Rattus norvegicus: one gene and its partner. The protein of the gene in region 1 purifies or fractionates together with the protein of each later gene. This does not show direct contact. Links are inferred from orthologs where the notes say so. Each region holds a gene or a part of one and is shown on either strand. Other genes may lie near its edges.

Region 1 (11,082 bases):
ACTTAATCCATCAAAAATTACTTGACGTGAAATTGCAGTCTTTCAAGATGGTTTTGGTGAGGAAACTAGGCATCCAATCTTGTAGCTTAAGTATATTCTACTAGTTAGACCAATTAAGAGAATCCATTACAAAACGAAAAATTGCTAATTCCTTTGGATGCATACTTTAACTTTTTAGTTCTTGATTATTTATAGTCAGGGAACTCTAACAGAATGTAAGCATACAGACTTGTCACCTTGGTTAAAGAACTGCATGTGTGATGTCTAAGACTCTGAGTCAAAAGAAAGGGAGGCTGGTAAAACAAGGAGGCTTTGTGGCTCATGCAACTCTTCACCTGTAAACTGCCTTTTTCTCAGAGACTGAATTCTGAGCTCTGTCAGTCAGTTTTGGTGATAGCTTTTATGAAATCTGTCACTTATACACCTTAAAATTTGAAATATATCCTATTAGTCAATTGAAATTCATTTTAGAAATAATTTTACTGTGATAATGCGAACAATGTCTAACTACTAGTGAGTTTTTAAAAATGAAATATTTGAAACTGGTCTGGAATTTCTACTGGAAAAAAGATTATAATCTTAGTTTTACTCATTCTTGTGCTAAAAGAAATTGAGGAGATAATGTTTTAATTCCTTAGTGATTACATGACTTATCTACAAAAGTCATCATGCATTTTCTCCAGAGTTTGTATGCTGTATTGAATAAGAACGATCTCCATAGGGTCAGATATTTGAATGCTTAGTTACCATGGAGACACTTCTGATAGGATTAAAGGATTAGGTGTGGCCTTGCTAGAGGAAGTGAGTCACTAGAGGTGGGTTCTGAGGTTTCAAAGGCCCCCACCAGGCAAGTTCTTTCTCTGCTTGAAGATCAGGTTGTAGCTCCATGTATATTCTCCAGCATCACACTTGCCTGCAACAATGCCACAACATCCTTGCTAAGATGTAATGGACTAAGGCTCTGAAACTGTAAGCAAGCCCCCAATTAGATGTTCTCTTTTATATGCAGTGCTTTGGTGACGGTGTCTCCTCACAACAATGTAAGAGTGACTAAGACAGTTTGTATTAAGAGAAAACTTTAGAGCTGTTGTCAAAGTTCAAAGGCACAGGAGTAGCTTAACCTATGTGAGGGCCTAAATTCATTCCTTCTCATTGTAAACAAAACATACAAACAAGTGGCTCACAAAAATCTGTTTCCAAACATTTCTTCAAACCCCTTTTGCTTCAAACACACGCTTCTCACACAGCCTAAGGCGGCCTCATGGTACGTCTGAGGAGGATCTTAAGACCTGAGGTTTTCCATCTCCTCCTCCCAAGTACTGGACTGAAAGCCACTACACTCAGTTTTAAAGGTACCGGGGACTGAACATAGGCTTTTCTATGTGCTAGGTTGGTACTTTACTAGTTCAACTCCCCCTTCCCGTTACTTGATTTTTAAAAAAGGAAAATCTCGAAATTTGAAAGCATATTGCCATGTCTTTGTTAGGTACATACACACAGACCTAGGGTTTTGTGGGACAGGACATCTTAAGTAAACCGTTAATAGTCTTTGCTGTGTCTTAAGAATCAGTTTACTTAGGCAACAGAATAGTAATCTCTAATTCACATATTATATGCAGGTATAATATATATCATGAAGAAAATAAACACCTAGTGGATGGCAACAGCAAATAGCTCGTCTGTTTATCTTAATCACCACATTCCTTTACATTTCCTTCACAATCCTCGCTGCTTTATAAAAATCCAACTGAATATCAAAGTATAATTTACTTAAAGCTGACTAAACTTATAGGCTGGAGATGGCTCTTAAAGGATCATCCACAGTTCAGTTCCCAACACCTATGTGGGTTGGTTCACAATTACCTTGGTAACTTCAGCTCACAGACTGACACCCACAGTTTCGGTAGGCACCTACACTTAGGTGCACCAATATATATGTATTCAAATAATAAAAATCTTTAAAAACAAAACTACAGTCAGGTGTGGTGATGCTGGTAGTGTATACCTTTAAACCCAGCATTCCTGAGATAGGTGGATCTCTGTGAATTCAAGATCAGCCTAAAATATATATCAAGTTCCAAGACAGCCAAGGCTACTTCCTTAAACCAACTGTTTTGCCAGACATGATGGTGCATGCCTTTAATCCCGGTACTTTGGAGACAAGGCAAAGAGGCAGGCAGGTATCTGTGAATTCAAGATCTGCCTGGCCAACGCACTAAGTTCCAGCGGACAGCCAGGGCTATGTAGAAGGATCTTGCCTTAACAGAGTGTTCCCCACCACCCCCGCAAAAGCTAATAGGCTTTTGATGTATGGCTGTGCACTTAAATTTCTCTGTGCAAGTAATTTTGAAGTTTCCTTTATTTCTTTAAGTCCACATCTCTGCTGTTTGCTGTTTTTCTTAACAGTGGTTACCTCGAAAGCATCCTAGATGGATATATTTAATCCGGGTTTTTGAGCATTTCTTTCATTGATGTTATCTCCAGACCCCTAATCCTTAAATCCCATCTTTGCCTAATCTCCTGTTGTTATATTCACTTTTGCTTTGGGGAAACAATAACCTCCTTTATGAACTGAATATTCATGTCTTCTTGAAATGTCTGTTCAAATTTTAGCCCCCAATGGGATTAACTGAGCATCTGGAAGGTAATTAGGTTGTGAGGGCACAGTCATCACAACCAGAATGTTTTCTTTATAAAAGAAAAACAAGACAGATAGTCTCTTTTCCTTCTGTAAAAGCATAGATCTTATACGTCCCAGCTCCACAACTGACAAACTTCTGTTGCCTAAACTTCCCTATCTATGAGACTTTTTATCATAGCCACCTCAAATCTTATTGCCTTATCACCTTTCGTTTTTATTTACGTTGTTGTTTTTAGATTAAGTACTCCACATTCACTTCTGTCTAATCTTAAGTCTGATGAGAAACCCTTATATATCACTTTTGTTCTCAAGAGAAATGGAAAGAATGAATCAAAAACCCAAATAGTCAAGAGTGGTAAACATCATATTTTCACCTCATGTCTGTCGTAAAAAAAAGGACATGGCTAAATCTGATGTCTATGGGCAGGATAAGGAAAATTCCTTTGAATTCTTTTAGGTGAAGGCAGGAGTCTTTAGATCCAGCATTTGGGATTAAGGGGCAGGCAGATTTCTGAGTTCAAGGCCAGCCTGGTCTACAGAATGAGTTCTTAAGACATCCAAGGCTACATAAACCCTGTCCTAAAAAAATTCTCTTAGGTCACAGAAAAATTAACAATAACACCTAGTTTACCTCACTGCTTGGGCATAGAAGCAAAAATAAGTAGTCTTCATTCATTCCAGGCTTTCAAATTTCTAGATTTAGTTTTCCTCATTTGTATTTCAATATGGCAACTTTTTTTCAATGTCTGCCTGTTATTAGCTACAGGGACTAAGGGTCAGGCTATGCAGCAAACATTTGGGTCTGAGACAGGACATCTTTGTATAGACCAGGCTGGCCTAGAATTCAGAGATCTGCCTGCCTCTGCCTCCCAAGTGATGGGATTAAAGGTGTGTGCTGCCATCGCCAGCCAGCTCTAAAATAGGGTTTTAATGCAACAACATCCCACCTCCAGTTCACATGGCCTCACATCACCCTGTGCCATCATTTTCCAAGGCACTGGCAACAGGTATAACCATTCTAATCATCTGGTACATTTCCTGGAAACCATTTATATACTACTCCAATATGTTCTTTGGTCAAACATCCAAATTCTAGTTCTTTTTTCTCCTTTCTTAAAAACATTTCTTAGATGCAGACACACCCCTTCCCCAAATAACTGCTACATAAAGTTCTACGACAAAATCACAAAGGAGAATACCTGCTTACTGTTTCTTGAGCACATTGTTAAAAATACATATCAGACAGCCTGTTTCGGTGTAGCTAGTAAATTTCCAGTTGTATCTTTAGAAGACAGAAGCTTAAATACTTAAAAGCCAAATTATAGTTGAGTTAAGCACAAAGCTTTAAGCAAATAGAGAATAAAATCTTAAAAGTTGCAATGAACAGTACTACAGGGCACCTATCTCTACCATAGACTTTCCTCAGGTGTCAGTCAGAGAAGGCTCACTGTGTCTCTCCCTGAGTGCTAAGGCAAATTACTGGGTGCCCAGAAACCGTCAGATGTAACAGAAAACATTTGGGACACTTTAAATAGATAAACTGCACAACATATACCCGAATACATGTGAGGGTCTACCATGTGAAAACATTACACATAAGAAAGGCTTCAATTGTGAAACTATTGTCTCGGTGAATGAACACGTTCTTTCAAAAAATAGCTACAGAGAACACTCCTCTGGGAAGATGTTCAAGTTTATCTACGAGGCTCATGGCAAAATTTAATTTCAACTGACTTTCATTTCTTCCTACTAATCTTCACCTAAAATGTTTGAATCATACCAAGAAGCAGCAGCTGAGCAAATCACCAGGGAGACCAGGGTCGCCCATACGTCAATAGCAGCAGCATCTGAACCTTTATGAAAGGCAAATCATCAGTCCCAGCTAAGTCAAGGGGCAGGGCTTTTCAAAGTTCATTACAATGATAATGGGATTTTTACCTGCATACCCCATTTCAAGAAAACTACCACAAAGCCACGTCTATTACAATACACTTTCCAGCAACTTTTAGCAGTTTTCTACCTTACCTTATATTGTTCATTGGGACCCAGTTTGTTCCAAGGCTCTGGGTTATTCTTCCTGTCCCAGCTAAAATGGATAAAACATTATAATTATTACAGGAATAAAACACTGCTTACAATAGTGTGTTAAAAATGCTTTGTTAGAAACTAGTTTTTTGAGGTTTCACTTAGGTTACATTTACATACAACAACAGTAATCACAGTTAAGTATTTCATAAAAAACAATGGTTGCCAGGCATGGTAGTGCACGCCTTTAATTCCAGCACTAGCAAGGCCAACCTGATTTACAGAGTGAGTTCCAGCACAGCCAGATGTACATTGTGAGGCTGTCTCAAAGCAACAGCAATAACAAAAGCAAGCAAGCAAACAAACCAAAAAACCCAACCTTCAAAATGTAAGAGTTGGTATTAGCAATTCTACTCTACCAATAGGAATCTAAAACTTGGGGAGATGAGGTAAGTTCAGGAAGCCAGCAAAGTAAATGTCAGCAGCAGAAGAAGCCCTGGGCTGACTTGAGAGCTAAAAGCTGTAGTTGTTTCTACTCCATTACCTCTCCCGGGACCGTGGTCCCCAGCCCAGACTCTTAACCATCCAAGTATTAAGCCTTACACTCACCTGACATCTGGATTGAACAATGCCAAGCGCATCACATACAGTGCTGCTCCAGTACCCCCTGCTCCAATAAACACGAAGAGAGGGATCAACTAGAAACAAATAGACAAACAGAGTAGCCATCATCACATTCCTTGATCTTGTCCAAATAAGAACATACTGCTTTCTTCCTCCACGGTAACCTCCAAATCTGCTATTTCACTAACGTCCTACAATGGAATAAAGGTTGAACTCATGAAGCAGTGTTTCTTTCAACTGTATTCTAAAGGCACAGTCTTTGTAAAAAGATGCTAGGATGGTTTTGGCTTAAGAGTCCAACTTCCTTACGTGGATCCATGGAGTAAATCATATCGACAAATAATCCTATCAAGTACATTCACCTTTGTAACACTTCGAACAACACTCCCATTAAATTTCAGTGCTTCCCTGGAAGTAATGGGAAATACTTTCCCAGAAGGCTGGAAGGAGGGGAGCCCCTTTGAAAACTACTGAAAAGTGGCCCTGAAAAGTTCTGTGAACATAACCTCTGTGACATAAGTGTAATTAGCTGACAGAAATGTTTATTAAAAGCACTGGTTTTAGGAATGAACTCTGAAAACTGACTGCTGTTAATTTTGCTAACCAGGCTGAAGGCAAGGTTTAAGGCCTGTCAAAGGGAGTTTTAGGTACACAGCATCCTACTATATTGGGCTAAACTGAACCAAAGTGACATGTCAAGAAAACTTAAACACATTTTGGAAATGTCATGTTTTCCAAGCAAAGTTATGATTACAAGATGACGACGACCCCTTGTATTTCTGAAGGCTTGGTGGTGCAATCCGGTGAATATAATAGCCTCAAAAAGGCAGCATAACAAACTTGGTCTCTCTTGGATTCTAATCACTCAATATACCACTCACCCTTCTTGGGACCAAGTAACCTGAGAGATCGGTGGCCACAGTGTTCCAACACTCAGAATGTTTACCTTTTTCCCTGATGTCTGACACCTTCGGCTTCAGGCAACCCCTTCCCCACCCCCAGTAGAGACTTCGAGCTATCAGGTTAGGCCAACCTCAGAAACAGAGAAAAGAGAACGTCCCCAGGGGACACGGGAAGGCGCAATCACAGCTAAGAGCCCACTCTGGCAAAGATCGTGAACTTACGCTGGGATGTTTCTTGGCTTGCCCGAGGATCTGGCGGAGCATGTTTGCGGCACAGGCCTACCTACACCGAGAGAGAAGATTAGGACACACACTAAACCGCTTCTGCAACCTGGCTGAGCGGACGTCCAAAGTCACCCAGGACCTCCTACCTGAAGGACCCCTGGCTGGGAGGGCAGCCTGCAGTAGGAAAGCCCGGATGCGGCTGTCCTCTATGGTGCCTGAATGGGTGTTCAGCCCTCGCGCGGTCGCCCTAACTGGTACCAGCACTTCTTCCCATTGTTAAGCTAAACATCCTTTAGTTCTCCACTATGCATATTTTTGATAGGATTATTTTTGCACAGAAATCAGAGCGTCTCGACTGATAAGACAGGCAATTTTCAGGACAGCATGCGTGTAGATCAGGGTCATCCGGCGGTCGGCTGGAAGTGCGCTTGGCGAGCGCGGCTTCCCTAGCGGCGCCTCTAGGCCTGGGCCGCGCGCTGACGCGCTTGGGGGCGCGCGTGCGGTGCGCGCGCTGGGCCTCTCAGAGAGCCCCAGAGGGAGCTGCCAGGCGCCTCTGCAGGCGCAGCGCCCAAATCCCGCAGGACAGGTCGAGTCTCCAGCCGCTGGGGTCAACGGCTGCGGTTTAAGACTGCAGCTGCTTCCTGTCTTCCACTGGCGCTTAGGGACAGAAGTTGAAACACTAGTAAGTGACATAAAGATGGCCATAGTTTTTACAGTGTGGTTTCTGAAGTTTTGCAACGTGCCACCATCTCTTTTTGCTCCAGATGTTGCGTCCTTATCTTCATTGATCGTGTTCCTGAACTTATCCTTTTCTATCGCCCTGATTCAATGTTCATTTATCTCTTTGTAAATTCACTTTTACCCAAAAGTCTTTCTTTGGGGAGGGTTTAATGGGCAGTTTGGAATCACAGCCAACAATTTGGACACTTTCCAACTCCCTACTTATCTTAAAGATTTTTAAGTAATAAAACTAAAAAGAGGAGGTGTCTTCACCAAAACTGCTAAACTGAAGAGGTAGCATTAGCTCACTACAGGCTTCACGTGGAGGTGTGTAAGGAAGACAATTCACATAAAGTTCAGAAACGTACAGTCTACTGTGGAAGTTACGGAATAGAGAAGGCAAAGTAGGGGCCACATCTGAGCCAGGGACCACTTACACAAGAACTTTATGTTCAGGACTTTAGGAAGCTCACCAAAAAGACTGTGTAGTTGGAAAGAATTTGGCTCTGAAGAACAGAGTAGAGAAAAGGGCTATTGTAGTAATCCATGTGAGAGAATTTTAAGTTGCCCTAAAGGAGGGAATGAGGTGATTGGGGAAAAAAATCACCAAAAATCTCAGAGAAATTTTGGGGGACTAACAGGACCTAATGGTTGGATACATATGAGCGAATGAGGAAAAGATAATAATATCAGAAGTTTAGTGGTGATCAGCTGTGAAAATACCCATGCCAATTATTGAAATGGATGAGTGTCTATGCAAAACCTACGATATTTCTAGAGAGCAGAATGCTTATCTAGAGTAGGAAATAAATGGAGTCATTTTATTAATTAGGAAATGAGCTGTATGACTGGCTAAAATTGCCAGGAGATAGTGTGAGAAAAGGCTCAGGATCAAACTAAGGAATTCAAGCATGCTTGTTTAGATAAAACCTGCAAGGAGGGGAACATGGGTGCTAAGTTTTGAAGATTATGGCGTGCTTCCCTTTCCTTCCCTTCCTTTTTTTTCCTTCCTTTTTCATTCTTCCACTCATTCACTCATCCATTCATATCTCCTCTCTCTCTCTCTCTCTCTCTCTCTCTCTTTCTCTCTCTCTCTCTCTCTCTCTCTCTCTCTCTCTCTCTCTCTCTCTCTCTCTCTCTCTCTCTCCCAGAAAACATTTGCTAAGCACCTAGTCTATTCCATATCTTGCTTTGGCTTTGGCTGGCCTCTGACTCAAGATCCTCCTGCCCCAGCTTTCCAAGAGTTGGCATTACAAACATACACCTCCATACACAACATTCAGCTCCTAGGGATTTAGAATAGAAGGAAAAAATTACTGTGCTCTAACAGATGTACCATGTTGACTAGGAAGAGCAGGTAATATGCAGATAACTTTAGATAGTTATAGGTGTGCCAGTAAAATAAATAACTGAGAAAGGACATGGGAGAGAAGATGACTTGAGCTAAAGTGGGCAAGGAACGATGCCTCTGGGGCTATCATCTGAGGTGAAACCTGAAGGAAAAGCAGAACTTACCAAGGTCTGATAACGAACAGCAGCGGGAAAGAGTACTGCAAGGAAGCATGAGTGACTGGTTCAGACAAGCAAGGAGATCACCGAGGGAGTAACGATCTTGGTAATACTATGGTAACCAGTATGGTTATGTTAATAATCAGAGAGTACTCAGATGTGAACAAGGGAAGTAACGGTAGTGTGCATAGCCAGGCTGCTAGCAAAAGAATTACACGACTTTTGCTGAACATTTCATTTGGAATGTTAAATATTGGTAATAAAAAGTAAGCAGATATACAGGAATGCCAGAATCCAAAAGCAAGTAAAGTCTAGAAGTTTGCTGTTTTGTTGCTTCTTAAAATAATATTATTGGCCTAGTTCCTAGACATAATAATATGATAGCTAGATGAAGTCTGTTGAAATATTAACAAAGCAGAATTGCACAGTATACATTTGACTAAACTGTAACCAACCCACCACAGGTCCAATTGTCAAAGCTTAAATTTTGCATATTAAAGTTAGAGGAAAGAATATGTGAGCTGCATTCTAAGTAGGGCTGGAGATAGTAGAGGGGACAGTTTAGAAGAGCTAATGTAGAGGGGGCATTGAACACTGCAGTGTGACTTTGTTATTTACAAATTCCTCTTGCTTACTGTTAGAAAGAGAGGCCATCTCACTGCCTCAGTAACATCAGCTTTGATAAGGTGACTTTCCTCAGTAGGGAATGGAATGTGAGAATTCCACCTGTCATACAGAATTGTTGGCTCCCGTGTGTGCTGTTCTCTCTCTTCTCTTTTCCCATCATGACAAGATCAAGTTATGTTCAAAACCGTGGTATCAGCTTCGGTGTGAGATCAAACACTATTTGGAAAGAGCCGTTGTTTACGTATGATGGATGTGCTTAGAAAGTAGGAAAGAAAGCTTTCTTGTTTCAAGTCATAGTAATTGTGATTAGCAGGGCTGTCTGTCTCAAAAAGAATTACAGGTTTGGCCAATGACGCAGGGTTCAATTAGAAGAGAAGCAGATTATATATTGCTAAAAGAACTCTTAGCTTAGGGTTTTAAAAACTGCGACTGTTTGAGGTGTGAATTGATGTTACATTTCTCCAGTCTTCCAGAGGAAATAATTGGATAGATGTGCTTGTGCTTATGAACTCCTTACATGGATTCAAGCCAGAACCAAGGAGGAGCACTGCCAAAATCATGGTGCAGTTAAATACTGTTCCCTATGTTAACTCTGTTGCATGTCAGTGCCTGTATACAGTCCTCATTCTCTTCAGTATATGTATCCAGTCCCCAGTCCCTGTTCTCTGTAGAAATTTATGTGTATCTGTTTTATGGCAATTCAAGTTGTTGTTAATTCATAGATTTTTTTTTTTTTTCGGAGCTGGGGACCGAACCCAGGGCCTTGCACTTGCTAGGCAAGCGCTCTACCACTGAGCTAAATCCCCAACCCCAATTCATAGATTTTTGATCAATCAAAAACAATGCTAGAAAAAAACCCTAGAAAACACAGTATTAGACTGGGAATGTAACTCAGTTCTGCATCACTTGCAGAAATTGATAAAGGGAGGGGAAAAACAAGGAAAGAAAGAAAAACTAAGTCAGGAAGGACAAGAAGAAAAATAATAAAAGGGGGTTTTACAGTATCATTTGTAGATCTTAGACTCTGAGTTAGGGATACTGACAGATGGAGTTTTAGGTTCTCCCAGTGCTGAATGCACTTTGAGCACTCACAGTGGAGACCTGAGTGTCTTGAATAGAGAGACTAAAATGGTTGTAATTTTTAAAAAAAATATTTTATATGGGCCCTTTGTTCACATATTTAATGCTTTTCCTTGGAGAAATTATATTTATTCTTCTGGCTAGTGTCAAGCTTAGACAGGTAACCTGATTTGGTCAAAGGAGCATACAAAATTAAAAATAAAAATAATATAAAAAGAAGACTGGGGAGATGGCATGGTAAAAGACGCTTACCTTTCAAATATGAGAACCTGAGATTTCATCCCTAGAACTCAGGTAAAGCCACATGCATCTCTGATCCTACAGAAAAGAGACAAACCCAAGAAGTTCACAAGACACTTAGCCTGGAGTATGAAGTAGCCAACAGTAAGGAACTCTGTGTCAAACCAGATAGAAGACAAGGATCAATCCTTGATGGCCTTCCTCAACCTCCACATGACTGCCATTATTCATGTATTCTCAAAGGAATATATGTATACACTCATAAAAAGAACAAATAATATAGGAATTATTAAAACTGTGACAAAGTATATATCATATAGACTTAGTGGGGGGAAAGGAACCTTGTAGTCTCTATATATAACATGCTCTTAACAACACAGAGAGAAATGAAAGCTTTATTATAAGTCCATAGTGTATGGAAGAGGGTGACTTTAGCATAGTGGGACTTTGGTTTCATAGGAAGGAGACATGGCTGAAAAAGTTAACTCA
Region 2 (10,356 bases), on another chromosome or scaffold:
TATCCAGGCTATTACACAACCACACATGCAATTAAGGGGGACGGAGACCTTTTTTCTTTTAAAATTATTATTTTTTTTTCTTTTTCTTTTTTTTCGGAGCTGGGGACCGAACCCAGGGCCTTGCGTTTGCTAGGCAAGCGCTCTACCACTGAGCTAAATCCCCAACCCCTTAAAATTATTTTTAACTGTGTGTCTGTTTTCAGGTGCTCTTGGAATCTAAATCCTAGAGCTGGAGTTAAAGGTTATTATGAATTGCTTGATGTGGGTGCTGGGAACTAACTCTGGTCCTTTTCGAGAGCAGCAAGTGCACTTAATCACTGAACCGTCTTTCTACACACCCCTCCCCCAACTTGAAATTTTTTTACTTTCTACATAAGTCCAGCAGAGACTTGCCTCAAAGCCACTTAGGCTGACTGAAGCCTTTAGCCTGGAGGAGTTGTCATGTTCTGGTCATGCAGTTTTGTTACTGCTTAGTAGAATATTTTGTAACATTGGGCCCTCAGGGCAAAGGGGGATCCCTGGTGCCGTGGGGTCACTCAGTAACTAAACCCTGAGACCCCGAGTGCCTTCCTCCAGCATCCAGGACTGTCCAGGGAAGGAGGTGGAAGCACGAACATGAGTACTTCAAGGTCACCCCTGGTTACACAGGGAGTCGCAAGGCTATCTTTGGCTACATGAGATCCTGTTTGAAACAAAAATGTGCAGAAGTAGTAGGACAGTTGTGCCTGCACTGAACAGTGTACTCTGCACAGTGAGGAGGCAATTCTAAGTGCAGTCATTTCTACTGCTGCCCCACGGTGCTGCTCTGTTCCCTCTGATCCCAGAGCCTTGGTGCCAAGAAGCCCAGTCTTGGGAGCTTCATACATAAGTACAAGCACAGTAACAACCCTCCAGCTGTCCACTGTGGGAGATCTGGACAGAACCACATAGCCTTTCCTGCTTTCCCATAAAAGGGTCTGACTCAGTCGGCAGCAAACAACCTTCTCCAGGAGAGGGAGTAATCACAGCATGGGCACTAAGGCCCCACACCAAGGCAAGAAGTAAGAGAGACCACAGGAAAAGGGTTCACCAGTGCAACTTTATCACGACCATCAAATAATGGGTTTATTTGTACTCTAAGATAATTAAATATTAACATGCACCTTCCCATCAGGTGACCTCATGGGTCATGGCCAATATAGAACTTGGACAAGAAATCTTTTGGCCTTGGTGTTTCTGTTTCATGGAAGAACCGCATAATGTGTGTCCGCTGCTTCCACACTTTAATGGTTTCCTGGAGCTCCATCTTTCCCTGTGTACATGAAGGAAGAGGTGGTCAGTTCCAGCCACCAAAAGAACAACACATCACTCAAGTTCAGCTCTGTGTTGTGTTTGGCATGGACTTGCCAATGACCGTAGATTACCATGTCCAGAACCACTCTGCCTTCTTGTGGCTGCAGACAGTGAGCCAGGTGTCCCAGGGTGGCATCCCATAGGAACTCCCACTTCCTACTTTACGTTGTTAAAGCTGCAGTGTCCCCCTCCCCTGCCCCAGACCTCCCCTTCAGTAATCTCAAGCTTACGTGGGGGCTGAGGCAAGAGGATGTCTAGTTCCAGCCCAGGCTATATACTGAGACCACCTCAAAAGTGGAGACCTCCAATGGGGTATAGTGGTGCCACCTTTAATCCTGGCACCTGGGAGGCAGAGGCAGTGGATCTCAGGACCAGCCTGGTCTACAGTGCAAATTCTAGGACAGCCAGAACTACATAGTGAAATCTTGGCTTTAAAAAGAAAAAAGGGGCCTCCAAGTTGAACCTGGAAACACAGCAGCTGTCTTTTAATCAAGGCAGAATTTACTTGAAAACTCAGAGGCACAGGACAAGCCAGCAGAACTTTTAAGTCTGTCAGAGAGGGTCAGTTACCTTAATGACCAGGAGGTCAACCACTCTGGGGTCGGTGACATGGGCATTCTTCATGAACATTTCTCGGACTTTATCCCGTCCTTGTTTCACCGTGATATCCAGCTGCATTAAGTGCACTAAAGAGGAAACATGACTGTGGAAATCAGACCTCTTAAACATGCTTCTAGAAGCTTATGTCAGTGGTGACTGCTGGCCATGTACAAGTGGCTTCATGCCACACAGTCCAACCCCCAGCCTGGACACACATCTTACTAAATCGCCCAGAGCCTGGATCTCAGAACTCTTGAATGGGCCACTTGCTTTTTCTGTATGGGCAGAACAGGTGGGGATAGAGTCTAGGCCTTGCACATGTTAGGCAAGGGCTTGGTCACTGAGGAATATTTTTATATGGAATAACCAGAAAAAAATAAAGGCACCAGAGTTGAAGTCTGTGTAAAATGACGCAGTGTAGGTTGTAACTATGAGTTTGGGAGCTGAGGGGCACTGCTAAGGGTTTGCGCAGGGAGGGCAGGCTGTACTCAAACCACCAGACCACCTGGGGAAGGACAGACTTTAGGCCTTAACTGAGAGTGGAACAGTAACCCACGACTGCAACAAGATACACGGCTGCCTCCCAGGATCCATGAGCCACACCACCCTGAGCCCCCAACCCCATGTAAGGGACCGAAACTGAACACAATAAACTTCCCTTAAAAAGGGGGGAGACTGGAGTTAAGAGCACATACTGTCTTTCCAATTCCCAGCAACCATGTCAGACAACTGAAAACACATTGTACCCCCAGCTCCAGGGCCCCACGTGCCTCTGGCCTCTGCCAACACTTGCTTTCACCTGCACTCCCCCCGCCCCACACACATGATTTTAAAAGTAATAGAATATATTTTAAAAGTCACAATATCCACCAATCCATTAAGTCAGTGGCTAAACAGTGGCACAGACTCAAGTGACGAAACTTAATGTGCCACATGGACCGGGTTTTTGGAGATTAGGTTGTAAACTGGACTCAGTGGTAACAGGCCTGTAACCCAGCCTACAGCCTTGGGCCGTGTGGCACTATGGATCCACAGCAAGGTCTTGTTTCAAAAGAAAGAAAAGCAGGTTTTAGTCACTTTTATACCCTGACACTGGCCTTTGGCAGATTTGCTGAGGACATTTAAGGATACAAAAGCACTACAAGGTGTTAGATGGAAGGAAGGTGACAGAGACATCATCAAGGGTTTACAGGCATTCTGGCTACAGAGGTCAGTATATTTATTGTGCTTTGGCCATTCTTGTGACATGTCCACTCCGATCTATAAAACTGCCATCAGCCAACCATGGTGGCATATGCCTTTAGTCCCAGTACTGAGAACTCAGGCTGATAGATCAAAGGATTGAGGCCAAATCCTAACAAAAACAAAACAAGCCCAGGGTGGTAGCACAGAAACAGATGGCTCTTTGAGTTCAAGGACTGCCTGGTTTATGTAGCAAGTTCCAGGCCAGCCAATGCTACAATGTGAGACACTGTCTCAGACAAAACAAAAAGTCACAAAAACACACAGACAAAAATCATGTGTTGTCTAAATCAGGTTTGAGTTTTATACTCAAATTCAGTGACTAGAAATGGTAAACACTTTAGTTCTCAGAGAGCTGGTCACCAAGGTCAGCCTGCACGCAGGGATTTCAGGAAAGAACTGTAAAATGACAAACTGACAATGCAAACTGATACAGAACCGGTCATGCCATTCAGAACCTTAGTATTTGTGAAGCATCAGGCCCAGAGACTGAAGAGTGCAGTGTTATAACTGCTGTCAGGTAATCGTGGGCCTGTGGTTGGCGTGGGTTTTTCACTCCAGTCTGTGTTCTAAGAACTAGGAGGAATCTTCTCCCCATCAGTGCCTCCCCCAAGTTTTATGTCAGTTACTATAGTAACCTATTAAATACAGTAACTCCCTGAAGAAGACAGTATTCTAGCTATTTCACAGATGAGCAAATACCGGTGAAAAATCTTACCCAAGGTCACACAGCTAATAAGGGTCAGAACCTCAGGACAGTGTGGCTACCTCTCTGCAGTGCTGAGGCCTGTCATGGAGCTGCCACTCATTGGAAAATGCCTTTCCCCTCAGATCAGCTGTGGTGGTTCAAGTTAAATACATGTCTACTCAACAAGAAAAGATGTCCCCGACATTTGTAGGACATTTGAACTCTCACTCACCCCTTTTTAAAATCCACTACAGTGGCAGCATTGAGGGAGACAACCAAGAGAGCACACTCCCACCCACCACTCAGGTGAACTGAGATTCTCCGCCACCTAAAGGAAAAGGAGAGCGTTTTGCAGCAGTAGGTGTTAGACTTCAAAATTCTGGAGCAAGCTGATTTAGTGAGCGAGGTTACGGAGACTCGAGGGGTCATTGTCAGGAGGCTTCAAAGGGACCAGGAAGCTACTGGATGACCTTGGTCTAGTCTTTTCCCTCTCGTGATGGATGCAGTGTGTTCTCCAGACTGGGTAATGGATAACTGCTAAAGCCCTTTGCCACTTTAGTTACAAAGTCTAATGGGCATCTGGAACATTTTCTGGAACTGTAAAGTCGGGTTCCAGAAACACCTGGGGCTAGCGTGGGACCGCGGACGCGTCAATTCCTTTCTCATAGTCCCTGCTCGCTCCTCCCTGGGGCTCTGTAAGAAACATAGGAACAAAGGCCACCAAAGCGACTAGGGCTCTCGGAAGCCCTGTCCCGGGGTGGGGCACTTTGGTCCGTGTGACCCCCTTCCCCCGAAGCCCAGGGCTCATTTCTGTCCTAGTAGGTGACCTCAGCCCGGCACCTTGGACTGGTGACTCCGGGGCCCTGAATGCACCCCTGCCTCTCACCAGTGTTTGGCACCTCCCGGTACCAAGCGCGGTAGAGCTCGCGCACCCTCCGCTTGGCCTCTTTCAGGTCCCGACTGAAAATGGGCTTCACCGAGGTACTGGCTGCAGAAGCAGCCTGGCGCAGGCCGCTGGCCGCGGCCGCCATCTTGCTAAGGAAGCCCCGCCCTCTCAGCGCGCGCACGCGTAGCGTTACAGGACGCGACGCCACGCCCTCTGCGGTGGATTGACTGGGGCTCTCCGATTGGACGGGCTCTGCCATGCGCATGCTCTACCGCGGAAACACCGATTGGTGGTTGGCTCCTTCGACCGCGGCGCTGAAGAACCACCAGGGAGCGCAGCGTCGAGGCTTCCGGCAGCGGTCGGTTTGTTGTTCCAGCCGGGTGATGGCGGTCTTTCCGCAGAAACAGTTTTCTTCTAGACTTGGTGTAGATCGCAAAAGCGCCTCCGGCTTGAGCTTTGTGCCGTTTCTCAGCCCCGGGATTATAATGAAAACTCCATATTGTTTGTTTGTTTACTTATTGTCATTGTTTTTCGTTGTCGTCTGATTGCGGCTGACCTTAAACTCACTTATGTAGACCAGCCAGGTTGGCCTCAGAACTTGCAGTGATTTCTCTGCCTCTGCAGGTTTGTGTCCACCGAACTTGTGGTTGCCATTTTGTAAATAAATGTGTATGGATGTTTTGGCTGTTTGTATGTCTGTGCACCACGTGTGGTTTTGGTGTCTACGGAGGCCAAAAGAAGGCGATGGATTCCCCTGGGACCGACGGTTGTGAGTTACTTTGTGGAGCTGGGAATTGAATTCAGGTCCTCTGTAAGAACAGATGCTTAATCACTCGCTGAGGCGCCTCTCCAGCCCCTGTGGTTACATTTGGCCTTGCACTCCAGAATCCTCCTGCCTCAGCCTCCTTAGTACTGGGTGCTATTACATCTAGCCTAATCATCGTCATTTTAGACAAGGAATTTACATCCTAAACCATGGAAGCTGGAAGAATCCTTAAGTCATTCATTTGGGTACCTCTGGCTTTGCTGGCATGACTCATTAAGATTCTCACTGGACATCAAGTGCAAAGAAAAAAGAAACTTACAACATGTCAAGTGGAACCCTAAGTCTTTAATGTGGTTTAAGCTCATAGTGTAGGTATTAACAGAACCCTTATTTTACAGGCAGGGAACAGTACAGAATCTTTGTCACATTAGATCACTTCCTTGCCTGATCCCTGACTAGAAGCCACTGTCTTTTCCTGAAAGCTCAGTTGACCAGGACTGAAGACATTGAGGAAGGGACAAGGGACAGGACTGAGTGTATGAACACTGGCCTTGCCATGTGACTCTGGTTGGTGTGGGTGTGGTCTGGAATCACTCAGCCATTATCCTGTCAAATGATAGTAGATATCTTTCCATTGAATATTTTTGAAACGCGCGTGCGTGCGTGCGTGTGTGCGTGCGTGTGTAGAGGTCAGAAGACAGGTCTTGAGAGTTCTCCATGTGGTCCCAGAAGTCAGTTCAGGTCATCAGGCTTGGTAGAATGTGCCTTTGCCTATGGAGCCATCCTGCCAGCCCATATTTGTATATTTCGATGGGTATATACTCCCTGACACTGGAAACCCTAGTTTAGTCAGCAGAGGGCTTGTTATACAAGCATGGGGACCTGGTTTCAAAACACAACACCTAAAATAAAAGGCTAGAAATGATGTCTGTAGGGGAGGTGGAGATAGCTAGATCTACGGGTCACTCCATGTGGCCTAATCAGGAATTTCAGGTCCCAGTGAGAGGCCCCGTCTCATGTGCCTAAAGGAGGGCATTAGAGGTTGACCTTTGCCCTTACACATACCCTCAAGTGCGCAAACACAGACCCAAATGTGTACAATAATACTCCATATAATGACTGTGCTATATCTATATTCTACGACATATATATTCTATGCTATATAATAAAGCTGGAGAATTGCTGCCGAATGACATTTTAATATAGTAATTGTACCATCATTATGGATATCTTTGTGGTGATGAAAACAAACATAGTACTTCCAGTCAAAGTATAATACACACAGATATGTTCAGCACACGGCATTTAATAATTACTGGTTTACATATTCACAACTTGTCCTAGTTACAACCCTGTGGCTCTGAATACACCATGACCAAGCGAACTTAAAAAGTAAGCATTTAGCAGGGGCTTACGGACAGTCCAGAGGGTGAGTTCGCACCGAGGATAGATTGCATGGAGGAGAGCATGGAACAGGCCGGCAGGAATGTCACTGTAGCAGTAACTAAGGGCGTACATCTTATCCCAAAGCTGGAGACTGAGAGAGACTGGGCTGGCCTCTAGTCACCTCTAGTGACACATTTTCTTCAACAAAGGCCACACCTACTCCAACGAGGCCGCACCTCCTAGTCCTTCCAAAACAGTTCCATCAACTAGGGACCTAACATTCAAATACATGAACTTATTGGGGGCCAAACCACCACATTATTAATGATTTTTGCTTTTTGTATTTTTTCTTTCATCCTCTCCCCTTCTTTTTGAAACCTAGTTAACCTGTAGCTTTCTGTATAGACCCATGTTGGATGGTTCACAACTAGCATAACTAGCTCTGAGGGGACCAGTTACTTTTTTCTTTTTTTCGGAGCTGGGGACCGAACCCAGGGCCTTGCGCTTGCTAGGCAAGTGCTCTACCGCTGAGCTAAATCCCCAACCCCTAAACTTGAGGTAAGAGTGATTTTTTTTTCTTTTCTTTTTTTCGGAGCTGGGGACTGAACCCAGGGCCTTGCGCTTCCTAGGCAAGCGCTCTACCACTGAGTTAAATCCCCAACCGACCAGTTACTTTTTCTGGTCCCTATTGAACACCTGCATGCATGTGCCCAACCCCTACCCCACACGCACAGGAACATGGACACACACATATGGATACATTTTTAAAATTTAGTTTTTTTTTCAGACTTGTTTTAAGGTCTAAAATGTAGCCTTTTCCGTCTTGATTGGCATTTCATATAAACCAAGACATTCTTGAGTTTTAGCCACCTATAGGCATATGATCGTGATTCAGCCACGTTCATGACGTTTGGAGGGGTAGGAATAACTGTTACCCACTTGATATCACTGAGTACCTTCAGGGGCAGGGTCTGTGCCCTTCCTCTGCCCTCAGCCATGCCCCACATGGGAGCTCGGCAAACTGGCTGGGTGAATGGATGACACTGGGATGTTGCTAGGCTCTCTTCTTATTTTTGATTTAGAGGATCGGCTGCCCGGTGTTAAGTCCTCCCACGACTCTGTGACTTCCTGTCTTCAGGACTTCACGTGGCACTCACTCTTCTTACTGCATCCTTATCATTGATCACATTGAACTGAACCAAAGGAATACTTGTGAGGAGGCTACCTCTGACCGGGCACACTTAAAACCACCTCGAGGCAATTGGTGTGAAGCCCTTCTCAGATATGGAGGTGTCGTCTGTCATAAAGCCATTACAATGCCATACCCTCCCTGCAAAAGGAGGGCCCGTGTGCCCGACTCCCAGGTTTAGCTGGTGTTAACACTCTTCCCAGTTTGTAGGCTGCATGGACACTGACACAAGTCTCTGTGGATCACTGACTGTCATCCAGATGGGCGTGCTTGGTAAATATCCTTGTCATCCCATACCCAAGCCAGCAAAAAGGACCCTTAGGACCCAGTCTTGCTCTCTCTGCATCCCTTCCTTCTTGGCTGTCCTCTCCTTCCTCTTATCTTCTCACCTAGAGCCTGTCTTATTTCCTTTCCTCCTCTTAGCTTCCTTGCAGGATGAGCTTGATAATATGTTCACCGGTACACGATTGACTAACAGAACTTAGAGTTGAACACATTGCAAGCAGCAGTTTCAGTAAGATGCGGTAGCTCTGCTTTGAAATGCTAACCAGGGTTCGAAGCAACAGACGTGAGCTGCAGAACCATGCAGTCAGGCATGTTGTCATTGACCTGTCTCAGACATAAGACCAAATTTCTAGGCACTGCCAATGGCTTCTTAGATAGGAGAACCCCTCGCTGAGAAACCAAGGGAGGTGGGCTGCCCCACAACATTCAGGCAGTCAGCAAAGGAAGCATTTCACAATCACTATGAATGTGTACTCTAGGTGAGGAAGGGAACAGAGAAGGACCTGGAGTTTGAGGTAATATAGTGAGTTTTGGGCTAGCCTAGGCTACATGTTGAGAATATATATATATATATATATATATATATATATATATTCTGAGATTAAAGGTGTGTGCTACCATACTCCCAAATTATTTTTTAAAGGGTACATAAAACTGAAAATACGCTAAAGATAGAAGACAGGTGGACCCAGAATGACCTGATGCAACACTCACTTTTAGGCCAATCAGGGAAGAAGAACATGAGGGGTGGGAGGAAACCTAGAAGATGAGACATCAACAGACAGAAGAGGTGTTTTTAGGAAGAGGTAGACACCAGAGTGCATGGCATGGACAAGGGAGGCCACTGGGATGGTTGGCACACTGGGATGGTGACCAGAGTATATCAGGGATGGGGCTGAGACTGACAACTTTTAAGTTTCAATTAGCTTCAAGTGCTTCATGGGTTCAAAGCGCACTGCAGTGGGTTGTGTATTGAGGGAAAGGGGGAGCAGTGTAAACACCCACTGTAGACCATTCTTGGAGGAGACTGCATTGCAGGGTGGGGCAGTAAGGGTAGGAGCTGGGAAGGATCTCCAGGTTCCAGAGAAGTCTAGTTTTCCATGGGAGGGGTGTGTGGTGTGTGTCAGCGGGGATGGAACTGAGCCAGAAGAGAGGGAAAAGCAGGTGAGAGGAGGGATCACCAGATGCTCAGGTCATTAGAAGGCCAGAGAGAATGGGGTACAGGAGCCTTGGAGAAGAGTGGGTCACTTCTGCCACTGTAAGAGAGGCCCTGTGAGAAAGGTGCTCCCTGATGGTGCTCCTGTTCTCGGCTACACAGAGAACCTGGAGCAGAGGTGGGGCGGAAGGTTTACAGAGGGAATCTGGAATCATCTCTTCAGTGTGGGTTGCTGACAGGAAGTGGAAGGGTCTCACTATGCAGCTGTAGCTGTGGCTGGCCTGGAACTCGCTATGCAGACCACGCTGGCATTTGACTCATAAAGACACATCTGCCTCTGTGTCCTGTGTGCTGAGACTAAAGGTGTGTGCCGCCATACCCCCAAATTATTTTTTTTATTTTTTTTCGGAGCTGGGGACCAAACCCAGGGCCTTGCGCTTGCTAGGCAAGTGCTCTACCACTGAGCTAAATTCCCAACCCCTCCCCAAATTATTTTTAAAGGGTACATAAAACTGAAAACACGCTAAAGCCTTGGTATTTCTGTTTTACCTAAGGACATTTTATACCACGTGTTAAATCTGTGCTTTCTTAAAAATCTGTTACTTGGGGGGTGGGGTGGGGAATAAAAAGGAAAGGACATGATTGCTCCTGGGTATGGTGGAAGAGAAAGAGTTTATTGTAGGTATGAGGGCAAACATAGCCAGAGGTGGGAACATCTGGGAGAGTCCAGAGTGGATGTGACCCTGAGCTGCAGGAGGAGAGAGGGGAGCCGAAAGAGGAGAGCTGGACCAAGAGACCAGGAGGTAAAGAGGGTAAAAGAGGATTC

What was found.
Region 2: the proteins of Ndufa4 (region 1) and Ndufa6 purify together in Homo sapiens (co-immunoprecipitation; 3 studies listed by BioGRID and IntAct, with this or other methods). This does not show direct contact. The link is inferred for Rattus norvegicus from reciprocal best matches to the Homo sapiens genes COXFA4 and NDUFA6.

What each region holds. Positions count from the first base shown.
Region 1 is NC_086022.1:40,968,985-40,980,066, forward strand, and holds the start of Ndufa4 (cytochrome c oxidase subunit NDUFA4), read right to left. Parts: upstream 6,576-11,082; 5' UTR 6,457-6,575; coding exon 6,415-6,456; intron 5,365-6,414; coding exon 5,276-5,364; intron 4,728-5,275; coding exon 4,667-4,727; intron 1-4,666. UniProt on the Homo sapiens protein: Component of the cytochrome c oxidase, the last enzyme in the mitochondrial electron transport chain which drives oxidative phosphorylation.
Region 2 is NC_086025.1:115,745,407-115,755,762, forward strand, and holds Ndufa6 (NADH dehydrogenase [ubiquinone] 1 alpha subcomplex subunit 6), read right to left. Parts: upstream 4,912-10,356; 5' UTR 4,894-4,911; coding exon 4,749-4,893; intron 2,019-4,748; coding exon 1,903-2,018; intron 1,292-1,902; coding exon 1,160-1,291; 3' UTR 1,054-1,159; downstream 1-1,053.